2 linked regions of the Danio rerio genome follow. The protein of the gene in region 1 purifies or fractionates together with the protein of each later gene. This does not show direct contact. Links are inferred from orthologs where the notes say so. Each region holds a gene or a part of one and is shown on either strand. Other genes may lie near its edges. The genes, in order: ift27 and ift57.

Region 1 (4,362 bases):
AGCAAATCAGAAGTCAATAAAGTCATCATGGGTAACACCAGTGCGTGGATTTATTTCTGTTGGTTGATGATCCTGAATTGAATTAGTCTCCAGATTACGCTACATTTATCTAGAGCTGAACGAACCATGTCTATATCAGACTGTCCTCAGATCAGCGTCACGATGGAGATATGCAGCATGAAGATTAAACCAGCACCCTCTGCTGGCCGTCAGAGGAACTGTGTGTGTAAGTGTGTACAAGCTTTTATATCCCAGTGGGGACTTGATATTGAATGCATTCACACTCGGGGAGACTTTGTGGCACAAATGCTCCTGAATCAGGCAGAATGAAGTAGTGTGAAGATGTGAAGTGCAGTGTGTGTGCGCACGTGTGTGTGTGTGTGTGTGTGTGTGTGTTTAATCATCACACTGAAGGCATTTTTTTAGATTTATAGAAAGCTTTATTTGATTGAGAACAGACATGCTCATATGTACACAGATGATGATGATGATGATGATGAAGATGGCGCTGGTGTCAGATGAGGCTCAGTATGCTGTTCTTCTGCTCCTGATAGAGGGAGTGAAACGCTGCAGCCAGACTGAGGAACGGAGCTTCATAGTGGCCAATCTCCTTCTGCACACACACACACAGACAAATGCATAAACACAAACACACACACACACACACACACACACAAAACAAGCATAAATAAAAACAAACAACAGACGAACACACACACACACACACACACACCAGCACACACACACATACATGAAAACACATGCATACACACAAACACACACAAATACACACAAAAACATGCATACACATATCACACAAACACACACAAACAAACACATGCATACACACAAACACGCACACAGATGGATACAGACATGCATACACACCAGCACACACACACGTATACATGCAAACACATTCATACACACAAACATCTAAACGCACACAAAAACAAGCATAACAACACACACACACACACACACACACACATATACATACACAAAAACAAAAACATGCATACACACATCCAACACATGCATAAAAATGCATACACACACACGCATAAACACACACACACAGCATTGTCAGCCACACTGCATTGCTGATGATGATGATGAAGGTGTGTGTGTGACCCACCGCACTCGTCTCGTGATACTGCAGTGTGTGTGTCTGAGCGAAGGCTTGAGCTGCAGCAGCGTCCACCTCACGCCTGGAGGTCAGGTCACACTTATTGCCCACCAGTACACCTGCACACACACACACACACACACACGAATGCACGCATACACATTCAAACACACATATGCGCACACACACTGTAAGATTGGAAGATGAGGAATATTGTGTTCTCTGTGTGTGTGTGTGTGTGTGTGTGTGTGTGTGTGTGTGTGTGTGTGTGTGTGTGTGTGTGTGTGTGTGTGTGATAGACCTGTACCTGGTGTGTGTAGTCCGTGACTGTGTGTTTGGACTCTGTCGATCCAGCGGCTGCAGTTGTTGAAGGAAGCTTCACTGGTGACGTCAAACACCACACACACAACTGACGGCTGACTCCACTGACACACACACACACACATCATGAGACACATACCGCAGGTCATGTGTGTGTGTGTGTGTGTGTTTGATGTGTTTTAAAACTCACCACATTCTCACAGGCGTCTGAAAACAGCTCCCGTCCAGCAGAATCATAGATGAACAACTCCTAACACACACACACACGCACGCACGTGCGCTTATTAATCAACTGATTGATCTGTAAGCAGGTATGGTGTGTGTGTGTGTGTGTGTGTTCATACCACAGAGTCACTGGTGTCTGGGATAGGGACTGTTTTCTCCAGTAACTCCACGCCAACATTCTGTAAAACACACACACACACACACACACACACACGTGATATATTACGTTACCATTTATAATTGATGAAGCTATTATTTAAACCCCACTGTATGTTGTGTATTGTTGTGTGTGTCTGTTTTATGTGTGCCGTCTATGTGTGTATCATTGTGTGTGTTTTGTGTATTGACATGTTGGTGTGTGTTGTGTTGTTTGTGTGTTGCTTTGTGTGTGTTTTTGTGTATTGATGTGTGTGTGTGTGTGTGTTGTTTTGTGTGTATTGATGTGTGTGTGTTGTTTTGTGTGTATTGTTGTGCGCGTTTTTGTGTATTGATGTATGTGTGTTGTGTTGTTTTGTTTGTGTTGTTTTGTGTGCGTGTTGTTGTGTGTGTTTTGTGTGTTGGTGTGTGTGTGTGAGTGTTTTTTTGTTTGTGTGTTGTTTTGTGTTTTTGTGTATTGCTGTGTTGGTGTGTGTGTGTGTTTGTGTGTGTGTGTTGTGCTGTTTTGTGTATGTCTGTGTTGTGTATTGTTGTGTATCTGTAGTTTTGTGTGTGTATTGTTTTATGCACTAGCTTGGTGTGTCTGATTCTGTGTGTGTGTGTGTGTGTGTGTGTGTGTGTGTGTGTGTGTGTGTGTTGTTTTGTGCATTAGCTCGGTGTGTCTGACTCTGTGTGTTCTTGTTGTTTTGTTGTGTGTGTCTGTGAGTGTGTGTTGTGTTCACCATAGTGTAGTTCTTCTGATACACAGCTCCATCACTGCAAAACATCTGACACAGTGTGCTCTTGCCTACAGCAGCGTCTCCTACACACACACACACACACACACACAGAATAAGTTCACGCACTCTTGATAACACGTGATGTTCATTGCGTATATAATCTGCATAACACACTTACCCACAACCACACACCGCGCTCTGAGTTTCACCATGAAGCTGAATATTGATTACTGTTGGATTAAATATGGAGGTAATAGTGTGTGTCTACGTGTGTGTGTTATTACAGATTTAATGCATCTGCGTTATTCCTCCGTCAAGGCAACCCGAACCTACAGCGTCGCTTAGCAACTGAAATAAAGCACTGCTATTGGTCGAGCCGCTCTACGCCACTGATTCTTGCAATGCGATTGGCTGGACGGCCTGACGCAGAGCTGTACGTCACTCTGACGTTGACGCAACTGTTGTTTTACGTATGCACCGCTAGAGGCCGCGCTTATATCTTCATTCACCCTTAATCATTTATATAAGAGGCCGTGGGCGAGCTCATATATATATATATATATATATATCTCTCTCTCTCTCTCACTGTTTAATTCAGCAGAGTGAACAGGCAGAGCAAGCGTCACTGTATTTATTCAATCCAATTACACAAACATGACGTGCTGTATGTGTGATCAGCTCCTGCCTGCTCACTGACAATAATCATCATTCTGGGCTATTTTAGGAGTTGATATAAGTATATATCTTTAATAGTTTACACTTATCATTATTTTTTGCATGCCTACTTTGTTAAATAATTATTATGATATGCATTAAAGGCGACGCAGTGGTGAAGTAGGTAGTGCTGTCACCTCACAGCAAGAAGGTCACTGGTTCAAGCCTCAGCGGGGTCAGTTAGTGTTTCTCTGTGGAGTTTGCATGTTCTCCCTGCATTTGCGTGGGTTTCCGCCATATACTCCAGTTTCCCACAAAGTCCAAACCAATGACTGCAACGCCTGGGTGATTCTTGCTACTCAGAACACCCTAGCAACCAACTAGCAATACCTTAGTAACCCCTCAGAACACCATAGCAATGGCCTAGCAATACTTCAGTAATCACTCAGAACACACTAGCAACAACCTAGCAACACCTTAACAACCGCCAAGCAACCACTCAGAACACCCTAGCAATGGCTTAGCAACTACTCAGAACACCACATTTAAACACCCAAGCACACCTTAGCAACCCACTTATCAGCCTACTTGTATCAACTCTTTTAAACTTCTTTATTTTAAACCGTTAAACTAGGCTACTTCAAACGTTCAGATTAACTTTCTCAAGCCGCCATGAAGTTGGTCTACGAACTTTACTTTTCTAGTGTCAAGTTGTTGTACATTAACTAGCTATATATTCAATAAAATAAAAACATGTAGATGTTTGTTCACTCACTGAATCGACTCTGAACTGACTCGATTCTGAATCTCGGAGCATGCACGCACGAAGAGAGAGAGAGAGAGAGAGAGAGAGAGAGAGAGAGAGAGAGACATCTGTGTGAGTGTGAGTGTGTGCGTCTGTGTGTGTGTGTTTGACGGGATGCAGCAGCAGAGCATCGGATCCTTTGAGCTTCTCACTTTCATCCAGCAGCCGCACACCGGCCTCCGGATCCTGTGCTGGGTACAGTAGCGGTCAACATCTCTCTCTCTCTCTCTCTCTCTCTCTGTGTGTGAGGTTCTGCACATGCTCAGAGAATAACTCATCTTTTAGTATACTGTTTTCTATTCAGTTGTGTTGGTAAATGTAGTTGAAAATCTGTAAATAATCAGATTAGTTGA
Region 2 (4,563 bases), on another chromosome or scaffold:
ACAGAATACAATAATGTGTTAAATACAATTCATCATTCAAACAGCTTTTCTCATTCAGAAAATAAATATGGGAGAAAATGTGTAAAATTATAAAACAGTGTTCAAAAGGTTTTTTAGGTTTTATCTTAATATTGAGCAAGAGCATTAATCAAAAAGTGACAATAAAGGGTTTATTATTGTGACATAAAATATCCTTATAGTAAATGCAGTACTTTTGTAAATTCAAGTCCATCAAAGAATCCTGAAAAAGTATTATGAATTGTAATATTTTAATATTACTTATTTGCTGTAAATAATACAACTTTGGTGAGCACTAGGCATGGGCCGGTATAAGATTATGTTGATATGATAACCTTGGATAAAAATATTGTGATTACTGCTCTAAAATATATTCTTTTTAAATGTCTTAGTAAAAAAAAAAAAATTTCCCCCTTTCAATACAATATATTTTTTATTTTGAGAACAATTTAAAATATTGTGGGACTGTAAACATGTCAGGCTAAATAAATGAAATGAATGGACTTCTCTTGTCTTCATTAGTTTCAAAAACACTGATTTATTTACGATTTCGAACAGCATGTTTGGATATCTATTCTGCTAAAGATACTGTTGTCTTAAAAAAAATAATAATAATAAAAATTGAATAAAACAATCCTCCATATACCGAAGGAACAGTATTGCAGAAAATTCTGCCTTGACTTTTTCAAAGCAGTTATCATTCATTGTCTAGTGAGCACAACCGACTTAAAAGACTCAAAAGACTGAAGATTTTTCATATAATAATAAGTAACCACATTTATAGCATAAAGAAAAAAAATAAACATAATTAGATCAGCACAGATAACCTTAAACCATAACATTGACTATAAATGACTTTCATGTGTCAGACATTGAGTTGTGTTGAAAACCAAAATACTTAAAAATCACCGTTTAAACTTGTAAAAACCAAAATAATTACTCTCTGGTTTTTGTAACATAACGTATTTTATGCCCTTACAATGGTTTTACTATACATAAAACAATAAACAGAGGTAATTTACTGTGACTAAACATAACAGTTCTGGCAACTAGAAATCAACCATGGTTTGTACTTTGAAAGTGTGGTGATGATAATAATTATTTGTTTTCCATTCTTATTGTTAACACACACGCATTTATTATTAATTATGTTATTAATAAAGAGTCAGTTTCAAAGAACCAGCAAGAAAAGCAACATATCTTTTCGATTGGAGTAACGTTAGATATGGAGTCGTTTCTTCTCCGCTCCAGCGTGTGGCAGCACTGTCAGACTACACACGGTAACATTATAAAACTCTTAGCCAAAATCAGATTTCGGCTCGCTGCTTTTTTTCTATTCAATAATTATGCATAGTCATTGATTATTGATTATTTATAGCTTTCTGTTTATTATCTGTGACTATTCAGTAGATACTTTTACTTTGTTTGCTGTCATGGCCGTCGCTGTGTGTGACGTCATTCCTGACGACAGTAACTACAACATCCCGAATCCGCTGCTGCAGAATAGCCGTGTATATATCTGTCTGTATTCGTACCTGCAGTGTTAATAAAAGCTTTAAACTAATTTCCCTTTGCGAGTAAAGATTGTTAAATGTGAAAAGAGAAAGAGAGAGGGATGGCGGAGGAGGAAGAGCGCGGTCCGGGCTCTGTCTATCAGATGTTCGTGTTGATGGAGGATCTGCTGGATAAACTGAAGGTTCTCGATTATGAGCAGCACGTTCTGGACAAACACAACATCAAACCTCTGTCCAGGTAAGAGAGACTCGGAATGTGGATTAGAAAGTATTTGATGTAAATAGCATTACAGTTAAAGTGAAATCTCTCATCATGAATTTAGTATCGGGTTTTACAAACCTGGATGAGTTTTTTTCTTCGGTTGGACATATAAGATAACATTTTGGACAACATTGGTAAACGAGTAAAGTTAGTTTCTGGTCCCCATTCACTTTTATAATATGGAACCTGTAAGAAAATGAACGTTGCAAAGTAGATAGAGTTACTTTTTAGCCGTCAGTTTATAGTAAAATCCACTTATCATATATTATCATAAAATGAAAATTCTGTCAACATTTACTAGAATGATGGAAACTATATTGACAAAAATATTATCAGTCAGTGGCTGTTGCTTTCCAACATTTTTTATAATATCTTCTTTTGTGTTCACACGTTTAAGACCTTTAAATTAATATAAGTTTAATAGTAGAATAAGAACAGAAATAGCCGTTGCTATTTTTATTTGTTGTACACACAAAAGCATCTCTCGCAGATTGATAAAATTCTGATTGAACCACTGGAGGCGTATTTCTGTTTTAAGGATGTTTTTTGTTATTTTTCTGGATGACTCAGAACCATTGCTGTCTATGGAAGATGAGAGAGCTCTCAGATTTAATCTAAAATATCTTATGTTGTATTCTGAAGAGGAACTAAGGTCTCTAACATGTCAGGATAATATACTTTTGAACAATGTTTGAAGAAGTTGATATCAAAGAGACTGCGTGTTATAACGTAGACATCAGAAAAAGTAAATAAGAACATCAGAGTGAGTACAGTGCTCAGTGAGTACACCACATTTTGAAAATGTATATATCTTCAGTGAATATAGGCAATGTGTTTTGGTGCATTTAAACAAAGCAGATTTATTAAACAGATATATTTATATAAATAATATTTTGCTCACCAAACATATTTATAAACTGAAAGATAATACAATTAAATTCAAGCAAAATATTACAAAATTTCAACTAAATTTTATTTTCTTTTTCTTGTTTTTGCTTTTTAAAAATTGTATTTAATATTTTTCTATAACATATACATTTGGTTGTACTAGTTTTATTTAGTTACATAAGTTCTAGATTTGGCTTCAGTACTGACTAATCTAATGTATATGCACAAATATAATACTGTATAGCTTCCTATTCAAAATATAAATTTAAAAGATAGATTTGTGAGGGGTGTACTTATACATGCTGAGCACTGGAAATAATGACTGATTTTTCATTTCAACTTTTGCCTTAATACTCTGTATTTTTCAGACATTATTTTGTCTCCAGCCCTCATGTGTTGTCAAATCCCGGTGAGCAGTTCTATATGTTCAGTGTAATTGCTGCCTGGTTGATTACATTATGCGGGCGACCGTTCGACACACCACAGGAGTATGACGACCCCAACGCCACAGTCTCCAACATCCTGTCTGAACTTCGAACCCTGGTGAGGCGATAACACTGATTACACCCTCACAAATGTGTATGGGTGTATGCATTTAGGTTTATGATTATCATCTGTATGTGATTTGTAGGGAGGCCAGGTTGATTTCCCCCCATCTAAGCTGAAGACTGGGTCTGGAGAGCATGTCTGTTATGTTCTAGACCAGCTGGTAGAAAAGGCACTAAAGAGTAAAGGTTTTGCCTGGAACAGGTACACATATATTTAACAGCACACACTATGGGCAGGGGCGGGTTTAGCGAATCGGGGACCCTAGGCAACTTCAGCCATGGGGCCCAAGTCCTGATGCACCTTTTCTACTTTTTTTTATTTAAATGTATTTATTTTCTGTAACTCAATCTTCTTTTTTTATGGTTTATCTTAATGCAATCTTTACAACCTTTACATACGATAACAAATATATATATATATATATATATATATATATATATATATATATATATATATATATATATATATATATATATATATATATATATATATATATATATATATATATAATCATAGATTTACTGCTGGACTGCTCCATGATAGGGGAGCTGGATATTTTGTTTCATAATATTAATATTACAAAACATTACATTATTAAAATAATATAAGATTTTACTGTATATTAAATAATATTTAATTATGTACAAAATATCTCACTATACAAAATATGATAGAAATTATGTTTTATATATAGTTTATAAGTATAATCTATACTTCTAGATATTTATTGGGGCCCTAAGCGGCCACTTACCTTGCTTATTGGTTAAATCCGCCCCTACTATGGGCTTGTTTACACTTGGTCACTTCATGCGTTTTTGCTGACTGCATAGCTATCTGATTTGTTCAAATAGTGCCATGTACATTTGACCACATGAATGCATCTTCGCTAAATTAATATGATTCCTTGGATATCTTCAAATCTGCTCTATATACAAATTTAACTAGTTTATGTTGACTAAAGCATCTGATACATTTTATTTTATTTAAATAGTATTCGCTTTTACACAAATCTAATCTATATTTTTGATTCTGGATACAAATGCTTTTATATGTAGGCTCCTGGAGGCTTTGTGTTTGAAACATCCTCATAATAATAAAAAATAAAAAAATTGCATGAAGTGACAAAGTTTAAACCACACATATGAGCTTACAACAGGTTGAGATCATTTTCTATGGTGGTTTAGGGGCACAGAAATCTTTTAGAACCACGAATTTGTCTAACTGTCTGTTCTTACTGTATACAAACACATCTAGAGCTTGTATTCTCTGTCTGTCAGGCCGCTGTACCCATCAGTGGAGGTGGAGGATGAGTGTGTGCAGGAAGATGATGCA

Evidence for each region.
Region 2: the proteins of ift27 (region 1) and ift57 purify together in Homo sapiens (co-immunoprecipitation; 3 studies listed by BioGRID and IntAct, with this or other methods). This does not show direct contact. The link is inferred for Danio rerio from reciprocal best matches to the Homo sapiens genes IFT27 and IFT57.

Annotation. Positions count from the first base shown.
Region 1 is NC_133181.1:488,381-492,742, reverse strand, and holds ift27 (intraflagellar transport protein 27 homolog), read right to left. Parts: upstream 2,850-4,362; 5' UTR 2,763-2,849; coding exon 2,729-2,762; intron 2,634-2,728; coding exon 2,554-2,633; intron 1,855-2,553; coding exon 1,795-1,854; intron 1,701-1,794; coding exon 1,641-1,700; intron 1,555-1,640; coding exon 1,437-1,554; intron 1,249-1,436; coding exon 1,139-1,248; intron 614-1,138; coding exon 515-613; 3' UTR 425-514; downstream 1-424. Other genes in the region: syngr1b (synaptogyrin-1), read left to right, coding at 4,124-4,204. UniProt on the Homo sapiens protein: Small GTPase-like component of the intraflagellar transport (IFT) complex B that promotes the exit of the BBSome complex from cilia via its interaction with ARL6. Not involved in entry of the BBSome complex into cilium. Prevents aggregation of GTP-free ARL6.
Region 2 is NC_133177.1:45,212,075-45,216,637, forward strand, and holds the start of ift57 (intraflagellar transport protein 57 homolog), read left to right. Parts: upstream 1-1,495; 5' UTR 1,496-1,633; coding exon 1,634-1,770; intron 1,771-3,050; coding exon 3,051-3,225; intron 3,226-3,313; coding exon 3,314-3,432; intron 3,433-4,508; coding exon 4,509-4,563. UniProt on the Homo sapiens protein: Required for the formation of cilia. Plays an indirect role in sonic hedgehog signaling, cilia being required for all activity of the hedgehog pathway.